3 linked regions of the Sus scrofa genome follow. The protein of the gene in region 1 interacts with the protein of each later gene in a pairwise test. Links are inferred from orthologs where the notes say so. Each region holds a gene or a part of one and is shown in the gene's direction. Other genes may lie near its edges. The genes, in order: ZC3H12A, P4HA3 and AHSP.

Evidence for each region.
Region 2: the proteins of ZC3H12A (region 1) and P4HA3 interact in binary tests that used the Homo sapiens proteins (3 or more experiments, as listed by UniProt). The two-hybrid records come from large-scale screens. The link is inferred for Sus scrofa from reciprocal best matches to the Homo sapiens genes ZC3H12A and P4HA3.
Region 3: the proteins of ZC3H12A (region 1) and AHSP interact in binary tests that used the Homo sapiens proteins (3 or more experiments, as listed by UniProt). The two-hybrid records come from large-scale screens. The link is inferred for Sus scrofa from reciprocal best matches to the Homo sapiens genes ZC3H12A and AHSP.

Annotation. Positions count from the first base shown.
Region 1 is NC_010448.4:93,540,010-93,544,278, forward strand, and holds the start of ZC3H12A (endoribonuclease ZC3H12A), read left to right. Parts: upstream 1-1,324; 5' UTR 1,325-1,449; exon of another isoform or gene 1,450-1,454; intron 1,455-1,519; exon of another isoform or gene 1,520-2,190; intron 2,191-2,304; 5' UTR 2,305-2,376; coding exon 2,377-2,771; intron 2,772-4,269. UniProt on the Homo sapiens protein: Endoribonuclease involved in various biological functions such as cellular inflammatory response and immune homeostasis, glial differentiation of neuroprogenitor cells, cell death of cardiomyocytes, adipogenesis and angiogenesis.
Region 2 is NC_010451.4:8,626,774-8,629,818, reverse strand, and holds the end of P4HA3 (prolyl 4-hydroxylase subunit alpha-3), read left to right. Parts: intron 1-964; coding exon 965-1,061; intron 1,062-1,765; coding exon 1,766-1,836; 3' UTR 1,837-2,452; downstream 2,453-3,045. UniProt on the Homo sapiens protein: Catalyzes the post-translational formation of 4-hydroxyproline in -Xaa-Pro-Gly- sequences in collagens and other proteins.
Region 3 is NC_010445.4:17,058,722-17,061,538, reverse strand, and holds AHSP (alpha-hemoglobin-stabilizing protein), read left to right. Parts: upstream 1-1,195; 5' UTR 1,196-1,342; intron 1,343-1,511; 5' UTR 1,512-1,514; coding exon 1,515-1,589; intron 1,590-1,828; coding exon 1,829-2,032; 3' UTR 2,033-2,199; downstream 2,200-2,817. UniProt on the Homo sapiens protein: Acts as a chaperone to prevent the harmful aggregation of alpha-hemoglobin during normal erythroid cell development. Specifically protects free alpha-hemoglobin from precipitation.

The DNA of each region.
Region 1 (4,269 bases):
TCCAGCACGTAGGGACACAGGCAGGGTGCTGTGGGAGCACTAAGGAGGAAGCAACTCAGCACCAAAGGAGTCTGGGCAGGCCTCACAGAGGAGGTGACATCATCCAAAAGAGGAACAGAATTGGCCAGGCAGCTGTAGCCAGGGAAGAAGGGGAGAGCACTCCTGGGCCGAGGAGGAGAGATGCAAAGGCACGGAAGTGTCTGCAAGGCGTTGGCACCGTGCCTGCCGCCCAGTGAGTCCTCCATAAATGCGAGGCATTATCGCTGTGGTTGACTATCATCATTATGCTGATTAATCTGGACTCATTTAATATTCTTACTATCTTAAAGGGAGTTACTACACATGAGCACATGTCTAAATATACAGCACTTTTCACTGAACTTTTCTCAACTCTAAAAGTGGCCCTTGTGTGAAGATTAAGGCTACCGGCACACACAGTGCTCAGCAGGAGTGGTGGGGAGCACAGAGAGGAGCCCAGCCCTGGATGTGATCTGGGGGAAGGCTTGTTTTCTCTCTCTCCTGGAGGCCAGCTCCTGGGGTTGCTGTGCCTGGGGGGCACTGACGTGGAGATCCTTCGGGGTCTTTAAAGATGACCAGGCAACAAAGCAGGGAGTTAGCTAGGTGGGGTCACTGGTGATTTCAAAAGTGACATAGGTGGCACCTGGTGCCATGGAACTGGAGCTCCTGGTGCTGCTTGCAAGTCTTTCCAGCTGGGACAAGGCAGGTTGTACCTGCCTTTCTATCCCAGCAAGGTCCTTATTTCAGAAAAAAAAAAAAAAAAAATGTACTTGGCCCTGGGTGGGGCCCCACTTCTGTGTACCTGCTCCAGTCACGGTTACCTGTTGAGTCTTCCTGTCTCAATGAGAAAGGTGCCCGCCTGGGTGTACCTGTCTTTATAACCATGGCTCTGCCTCCCGTGGTGTGTGGACCAACCTTTGTGCACTTGATTCACTCGATGCACCCCAGACTGTACCTTCCGCATACTTAAGTCTGAACGACCGCAGCTATACCTGTGTTGTACTGCCGTACTCTCGGTCAGCCCGCGCCAGACTCGGATCGCTTACCTGGTCCAACCTGGGCTTACCTTATGCCTGTTGGCCGTACACTCCTGCCCTGCAGATCGCGCCGCCCCGGGGGCGCCTCGAGGCTCAAATAAGGGGCTGCGAACGGCGACCGCTGACCACATTCCTGGCCGGGCAGAGCGCGCTCCGGCTGCGGGGGCGGGGCCGGAGGCCAGGGCGGGGCGGGGCGGCGCAGGGGGCGGAGCAGGAAGGGGCGGTGGCCGCTCCGCCCCCTGCCGCTCGGGCCGGCTCTCGCCTCCCCTGCCCAGCTTCCGCGTCACGGTCCCGAACGCCACCTGCCCGCCCACCCGCCCGGTATAAAGGCGCCGCCGGCCTAGCCTCCGGGACTCGGCCCCATGGAGACGCCGCCCGCCGCGGCCGGCGCACGGTGGGGTGAGGCGCGCGCGCGCGCGCGCGGCGGGGGCGCGGACCTCGGGGCGGGCGGAGGGGGGGTGGGGTGGGCGCAGGCTGGGACTGACCGGAGCCGGAGGGACGTGGGGCCTGTCCCCTCCGGCCTCGCCGGTCCTCGGGACCGCTTCCAACTTAGCCCAAGTTGGGGGATCCTGGGAGTAGGAAGACCGAAGTCTGGAGGGGGAGCCGAGCGAGAGGCTCTGGGCCGGGACAGCCTCCGCGTCACCGAGCCCGGAGGCCAACCAGAGTTTCCCGGCAACTTTTCTCGCTGGTGGTGGGTCGCCCCGGAAACTTCCCCTCCCCCGGTCCGGGCGTCTGGCCACTGGCCCTCCGCCTCCTGAGCCTGGGTTCCAAGCACGCGGCAGACGGACTGGAGAAGACGATGGTTGATGGTTTCGACGGGGAACCCCCGCCCCCCTTCTAGCGCACTTGCAACCCAGCGGGTTTCCATCTGAAAACCCCGCCCCGCGGCTGTGGGGGCGCGGCGAGGCCCTCGAAGGCCACCCGCGACTTCTGGGTCCCTGAGTTTGTCGAGGAGGGGGAGGGCTGAGGGTAGAGGGGGAGGAGTAATCAGACTGCCTAAGTTCAAATCCTTGCCCCACCCGCTAACAGCTGGATGACCTTGAGCAAGTTCTTACTGTCTGTGGCTCAGTTTCATCCTTTATGTAATGGGACTTGAGGATCCCTCCCTGGGAGGGCTTTTGGAGGAATAACAGAGGTAACACCCCCAAATGGCTTTTCATACTGCCCCTAGTGTGGCCTCATCCTCTTGGATGGGGTGGGAGTTGGAGAGAATCATTCCCCGTCCCTAACTTTTGTGCTTGTCCTCCAGGAGCTGTGACAAGTGCCTTTCACCAGTCTGAGCTGTGAGTGGCCAGTGGAAAGAGGCCCACCCGGCCCCACCATGAATCTGTGGGAACTTGAAGACCACAAAAGCTGCCGAGAGACCCCAAGGCCGGCCCAGGAGCCCACTGCCGAGGAGGTGATGACCACGGAGCTACAGATGAAGGTTGACTTCTTCCGGAAGCTGGGCTACTCCTCTGCCGAGATCCACAGTGTCCTGCAGAAGCTGGGGGTCCAGGCAGACACCAACACAGTGCTGGGCGAGCTGGTGAAGCATGGGTCAGCGGCCGAGCGGGAGTGCCAGGTGTCACCGGACCCCTGCCCTCAGCTGCCTCTGGTCCCCCGTGGTGGGGGCACCCCCAAGGCTCCCACCGTGGAACCCTCACCCTCTGAGGAGGACAAGGAGGGTGGTGACCTGAGGCCCGTGGTCATCGATGGGAGCAACGTGGCCATGAGGTACATGTCACTTCTGTGGCCAAGACGGTGGCCGGGAATGGTGGCCCTGTGTCTCTGCACCTCTGGTAGAAAGGACCTTAGGAAGGAGTTTGACCTCGTCTCAGACCGGTCTGGAGGCAGGGAAAGCCCTTTCTGGGGGCCCTTCTGTGTGCCTGGACGCTCTCTTAGTCCTCACGGCTTCTTGGGAGTGGGTTTCAGGATGTTTTAGGGACTCAGAGAGTTGCTCAGGGTCACACTACTGTTAAGTGCCAGAGCAGGGATTTGAGCTCAAGTCTTTATTTCTCCAGAGCAGCCTTAGGCTCTTTGTGAGGGCCAGCACTTGGTCTCGGTTTCTCTCCTGTGACAAGGTTAAGGGATCAGGCCTTGGGCTCCAGCCCGCCCCTCCAGGAGGCTCCTTCCCTCCTCCCAGAGATGGGGCTAACCCACCCCTCAGGCTGTGAGCTGTGAGCAGTAAGCGCACAGAACCTGGAGAGAAGTAAGAGCTTAGTAATCTGTAGTAGTGGTTGTTACTGTCACTGCTCTTCGGGGAGGGTCTCAGACTTCTGAGTCCTTGTTGTCCCAGACCTGGGCTCCCGAGGAAGCCGGCCCAGCTCTTGAGGGCTTTGTAGCTATGACCGAGAGTAACCTTGAGGATCTGGCTCTATCTACATCGGGTGTGTGTGGCTGGCCTGATGCTTTGGCTTCAGGGGAGCTGTGACTTAGGTCCCCTCTGCTTCAGCCTGAGCCACTTGGGCTGGACAGGGCTCCGGGGGCTCCCTGGGGGCCAGAGCCAGGACTCAACCCCAGGAACCACCCCCCCTGTCTCCCCAGCAAGGCTCTCACAGGGAAGGGGGCACAGGGCTGCCACTGGCTCTGGGAAGCCCAGACCTCCTTTCCATCCAGGCCCTGCCCTCCGGCCCTGTTTTCTCCCAGTCCCTTCCAGGCAGGCTGCTGAGTCAGGATTGGGTGGATGGTTCACAAGGAAACGTTCCTGTGGGTGCGGACAGGGAGACCCCAGACATGGGTGTGGGGTGGGTAGGGCTTCTTCCTCAGCTTCCCTGAGGGGTCCCTGGGGGGGGGGTACCTCCTGAGCCAGCTCTGTGCCTTTGGCCCCCCTGCCCCTCCCACACCTGGCCTCCCTGGGGGCAAGTCAGCTGTCTGGCTGGTCCTGGCCCAGCTCAGCAAGTGCACAGGTGGCCCTATTCCGGCCACCTTGGTGGTCCGTCTTCACTTCTCTGAAATGGGCTGGGCCCAGGTGGACATGGAGGCAAGCCGGCTCCCGCGGGCCAGCTGTAACCGGTCACAGCGTGTGCTTTAGTAAGAGTCAGGGGACCCCTCTCAGGCTCCAGCAGTTAGCTGGGTCAGGAGCTGGGGTGCGTCTGTGACCCCTTCCTCTGGGGGTAGGGCCCCAGAGCACGGAGCCCCAGGGGCAGCCATGTGCTCCGTGTGTTTGTGTCCCGGTAGGAGGAGGAGGGGCCTGGGCAGGAGGAGGGGCGGGGGGTGGAGGGGAGGCCGGAGG
Region 2 (3,045 bases), on another chromosome or scaffold:
AGGGGAGGGCCGGTGCGATAAGAGCTTTGTTTAATGGCTGCTTTCCCCAAATGTCACATCAATCAGTCAACAATCAGGGAAGGCAGCTCTTACTTCAGGAATGAAGAGAAGTCAAATAATTAAGATCGGAGTTCCCGCTGTGGCCCAGTGGTTGACAAACCCGACTAGCATCCATGAGGACACAGCTTCGATCCCTGGCTTCACTCAGTGGGTTAAGGATCCGGCGTTGCTGTGGCTGTGGTGTAGGCCGGTGGCTACAGCTCTGATTGGACCCCTAGCCTGGAACCTCCATATGCGTGTTCAGCCCTAAAAAAAATTAAGATCATGCTTCACAGTTCTTAGCATAGTGCCCAGCACATCCTAACCATTCAATAAATGCTGGGGATTAAAGTGTATAGGAAAAACCTGGTACAAGAGGGGACAAGAACATACAAGGTTTGCGATCAAGATGCCTGGGTTTGAGTTGCGGCTTTGCTCCTTCTTAGCTGATGATTTAAAGCCTCTAAGCCTCAGCTTCCTTGCTGGTCATGTGGGCTTATGATGCTGCCTCCTGGGCTGCCGTTAGGGAGGGCGAGCATCTGGTTTAAGTTCCTACCTGGGTGAGGGGGGATTTGTTCCACCTTGTGCTTTTGCTGAGTGATCCTGTGACCCCCTGTGCCCACCTTTGCCCCGGCACTGGTCACACCGTCTCATCCTGGTTTGTTTTTGCGTGTCTCTCCCACAAGACCACGAGCTCGATTTGGCTCCTTCTCTCCAGGGCCCGGAGGAGAGCAGGCCCTCCGTTGGCGACGCATGAGCCAAAGAGTAAAGAGACGACCCGTTGGGCCGTGCTGTGCTCGCCTGGCCCCCAGTCTGCGCGGACAGTTTTCTGGCTTAATGACATGCATGCATTTGGCCTCAGTCAGGTGCTTCTGAAGGACTGAGATGCTGGGCTGACCCCCTTGACGGGGCCTCTTATTTTCAGAATGCAGCACTGTTTTGGTGGAACCTGCACAGGAGTGGTGAGGGGGACGGTGACACTCTTCATGCTGGCTGTCCGGTCCTGGTAGGAGATAAGTGGGGTAAGCCTGCCTTTCTGGGCATGGGAGTGGGGCGACGGTTCAGGGTAAAATGAAGTAGGGGGTAGATGGAAAATAGCCCAGCCTTTTCCTTCTCGAAGCTTCCTAACAGTTTCCCGTCACGTTAGGGTGGTGAGATTCTGGGTTAGTTACCCTCAGCACGTTGGGAGCCCACAAAGGGCAGCTCCTGTCGCAGAGCAGGGGTCAGTAGAAGTTTATTGGCCTGACCGACAGGCCCTGACCCCTGAGCACGGCCGAGGGTGGTGCTGGCCCCTGTCCCCTACCCCGAGGACAGACCCTCAGTGCTTCCCCGTGGGGCCATGGTCAGACACGGAGGAGGTAAACGAATAGGGATGTGTTTATGTCACACATCTGTCCATGAGCACCTAGCTCCGAACACAGCAAAAGGAGAAGAGGGCCCTGGTGCCAGGAGAACGCACCCCTTTTTTCCCTGGAATGATGCCCCGGGAGAGCCGGGCTTTTCGGAGCTGCGTGAGGGGTAAGTGACAGGTTTGAAAATTAGTCTGCATTAGACAGGACTGGTCAGGGACTTTTTCCAGGGCCCACTGTCCTTTTTGCTCCCTGTTGCTGCTGGAAGCAGCCTCTCATAGTCCTGCGGGGCTGGGACCAGGGTGAGTTGCTGAGCGCGTGGCACTTAACCGCAGCGCAGCGCTTGCTCCCAACCGTCTCCCCGCTCCCTCCTCCAGTGGCCAACAAGTGGATCCACGAGTATGGACAGGAATTCCGCAGACCCTGCAGCTCGAGCCCTGAAGACTAAAACGTTGGCGAAGCTGGGAGTCCTGTGGCTTCCCAGAGACGCCCGAGGCCAGACGCTGGGGTAAGAGAGGAGGAGGAGAGCATGCTTCTGGAGGAGGCCTTGCCAGCCTCGCCGGCTCCTTGCAGATGGGAGACCAGGAAGTGGTCCCCAGCGGGGACACGTGATGAGACTTACACTGTTTCTCCTCAAGGCCTGAGTCCCAGGAGGGGCGAGGAGGCTGGAGAGTGGTTCTTGGAGTTCAGACCCTCTGTGTTGGGAACAGGACAGAACACTCTCCGGGCTCTGGTCCGTGCAGCTTTTGCCACTTTGAGCCTTGGCCACAGGGGCCCAGACGTGGCAGTGTAGACACCTGCAGGCAGTGCCTGACACCCATTAGCCCTTCTGCTGAGGACTGAGCAGGGGTGTCTCTGTATCAGGAGTGCACTTCATGCGATGATTTTTAAAGTAGTAGAAAAAAGTAACTTTTTTTTAATATGATTTTTTAATACAGCCATTAAAAAGTTTTGTCATTAAAAATGTTTACAAATTATTGTTCACAATGGAGAACATTCTTACATTATAACATTGAGTGAAAAAGGCGGAGTATAATGTTTTATTTACGCATGTATGTATGTGTTTATTTATTTATTTTTGGCCACATCTGCAGCATATAGAAGTTCCCAGGGCCAGGGACTGAACCTGCACCACAGCCTGGGCTGCGCCAGATCCTTGACCCACTGAGGCACAAGGGAACCTCCTATAAGATTTTATTTATATATAATCTCATCTTGGCTCACCTCCCCTCTCACTGTATTCCAGACACAATGTTGTTGTTGTTTTGTTTCTTTTTTTTTGTCTTTTTAGGGCCACACCCGCAGCATATGGTGGTTCCCAGGCTAGGGGTCTAATCTAAGCTGCAGCTGCCGGCCTACACCACAGCCACAGTCATGTGGGAGCCGAGCCGGATCTGCGACCTACATCACAGCTCACGGCAATGCCAGATCCCTAACCCACTGAGCAAGGCCAGGGAGTGAACCTGCGACCTCATGGATGCTAGGCGGGTTCGCTAACCACTGCGCCACCAGGGGAGTTCCCAGAGACAACATTCTTTCTGTTCCTCAAACCACCACGCTCCCCGCTGTTGGATCGGTCCCACCCTTCAGGCCTTTGCAGCCGCTGCTCCTGCCGTGGCTGAGCGTCTTCTCACCATTTTACTCCCAACTCAGCGTC
Region 3 (2,817 bases), on another chromosome or scaffold:
CCAGGGATGGAGAGTGTGCCACAGGAGGAGTTCCCAGAGGTACCAAATCTGACTAGTATCCACGAGGACACAGGTTCGATCCCTGGCCTCAATCAGTGGGTTAAGGATCTGGAGTTGCCATGAGCTGTGGTGTAGGTTGCAGGTGCAGCTCGGATCCTGCGTTGCTGTGGCTGTGGTGTGGGCCAGTGGCAACAGCTCCAATTCAACCCCTAGCCTGGGAACCTCCATATGCCTCAGGTGTGGCCAAGAAAGAAAGACAGACAGACAGAAACTGAGCCACAAGAAAAAGAGTATCTTAACTTTCTTGAGTGTCTGGTGATATAACAGAGAATAAGACACATGCATCTCCACTCTTGTGGAGCTCAGCCTGGAAGCATTCAGTCCTCCCACCTTGCAGCTGGCGTACACCTGCAACATGTGGCTGTTACTGGAACTTGCCTAATATGATTTTTTATAACAATTGGGAGTTCCCTGGTGGCCTAGTGGTTAAGGATTCGGTGTTGTCACCCCTGTGGCTAGGTTCTGATCCCAGGCTTGGGAACTTCCACATGCCACAGGCGTGGTCGGGGTGGGGAGAAAAAGAAAGAAGAAATACCTTAACACTTGCTTGAAATAGAGCCTGGCACAAAATGATAAACGGAATGTAAGCTGCTGGTAATAGATCATCTATGAATTGGGAGAGTAACTGCCACTGCTTGTTGGGATGGTTTAAAAAAATGCCTGTAGGGAGCTCCTGTTGTGGTGCTGCAGAAATGAATCTGACTAGGAACCATGAGCTTGTGGGTTTGATCCCTGGCCTTGCTCCGTGGGTTAAGGATCCGGCATTGTCGTGAGCTGTGGTGTAGGTCGCAGACGTGGCTCAGATCCTGTGTTGCTGTTGCTGTGGCATAGGCTGGCAGCTGTAGCTCCTATTGGACCCCTAGCCTGGGAACTTCCATATGCCACAAGTGCAGCCCTAAAAATTACAATCAATCAATCAATCAATCAATCAATCAATGCCTGTCATGGAATGGGACATCATTTAATGTTAGCATTTGAAGCTTGGATACTGGGGTGTGCAGGAGAGGACAAGGATCTGTCTCTGGTCCGGTTTTCTGGGCCCCTCCCCTCCCCACTTATCTATTTTCTGGGCTTTGCTATCTTTCTAATTTCAGGGAAGCCTCTCCCTCCTTCCCCTGCCCTGGCTGACCTATCACCCTCCCTCAGCTCCTAAATGCAGGGCGTTTCCCTCTTGAGCTGACACACTTGCCTCCTTGTCTGCATCTAGCTGGGCACAGAGAAACATCCAGACCCTGCAAAGGGTAGGTGAGACACTACAGCTCCACCTGCAGTGGACCTGAAGGTGAGCCCCCCGGGGAGAAATGCCATCTCAGAACAGGGCAGGGTTTGAAAGGTGGTTGAGGGCAGCTGGCCTTGCACCAGGGATCCTTCAGGGGAGTGAGGGAATTGGGGGAAATAACCCTTGGATGGGCAAAAAGGATACTTAAGTTCCATCTGTTTCTCTACCCAAGCAGATGGCCCTTCTTCCAACCAATCAGGATCTCATTTCTGCAGGAATAAAGGAATTTAACATTCTGCTGAATCAGCAGGTAGGCCAAGGCCCTCCGTTTCAAAGAAAGGGCCTGAAGTGTGGAGAATGGATGAGGACAGAGAAGGAAAAATAATGTGGAGCCAGGAGGGTTGTGGTGGCGTTGATGGAACCTTCTAGAGACAGGGCATACGAAGTGGAGAAAAGGGGGTGTCAGAGTGTGTGGTTATTCCTGATCACAGGGCTCAGCGGGGTTTCTCTTGCAGAATCCTAACCCCCTCCCCCCACCCCACCTTGCAGGTCTTCTCAGAGCCTGCCATCCCCGAAGAGGCCATGGTGACTGTGGTGAATGACTGGATGGACTTGTACCTCAACTACTACAAGAAGAAGATGGTGGGGGAGCAGGAAGAGCAGGACAAGGCTCTGCAGGAACTTCGCCAAGAGCTGAATACTCTGTCTGCCAGTTTCCTGGACAAATACAGGAACTTCCTCAAGTCCTTGTGAGCAACCCCATCACCCATGGCCTTTCCCCTGGCGGGGAGACCCAGATTGCATGTCTAAGAAACCCTTAAATGCCGCTTCTGTGTTTGTCAAGTCCCCAGGCTCTGCTTTTTCGGGGTGTTATGGCGCCCTGACCCCTCAATAAAGACCAGTCCTGGTTTTGATGGTTTTCTTGGCTCTCCGACTCTTCTTGGGGTTTGATTCGTGACTTGTGAAGACTGTTAATCTCCTTTCCCTCAGTCTTGCTTCCTAGAAATGACCTTGGAGGTCTAATTCCTTAGAACAGAGGCTGGCAGCCTTAGGTAACTACTGGGCAGTACTAAAACAGCCTGAAGGTGGGGCCAGAGAAGCAGAGCCTAAAGAGTCCGTGCTGGGAGGCGGGGGGTCGTAGACAAAAAGAGGGAGATAGAGCCTCTGCAGAATTTGTGGCCCTGTCGTAGTTCCCACGGTGGCTCAGCGGTAACAAACCCGACTAGTATCCGTGAGGATGCAGGTTCCATCCCCGGCCGCGCTCAGCGGGTTTAGGATCCCGCATTGCTGTGGGGGCAAGGTGGCAGACTCGGCTTGGATCTGGCCGGCTGCGGCTGTGGCTAGGCTGGCAGCTGTAGCTCCAATTCAAACCCTCCCAGCCTGGGAACCTCCATATGCCGCGGGAGCAGCCCAAGAAATAGCAAAAAGACAAAAAAAAATAATAAAATAAAAAATAAAATAAAAAATGAAATGAAGGTGTTGAGAACGAGGAAGGGCCCCTCAGCGGGGAGACAAACTGCGAGCCTTGGGGCGCGGAG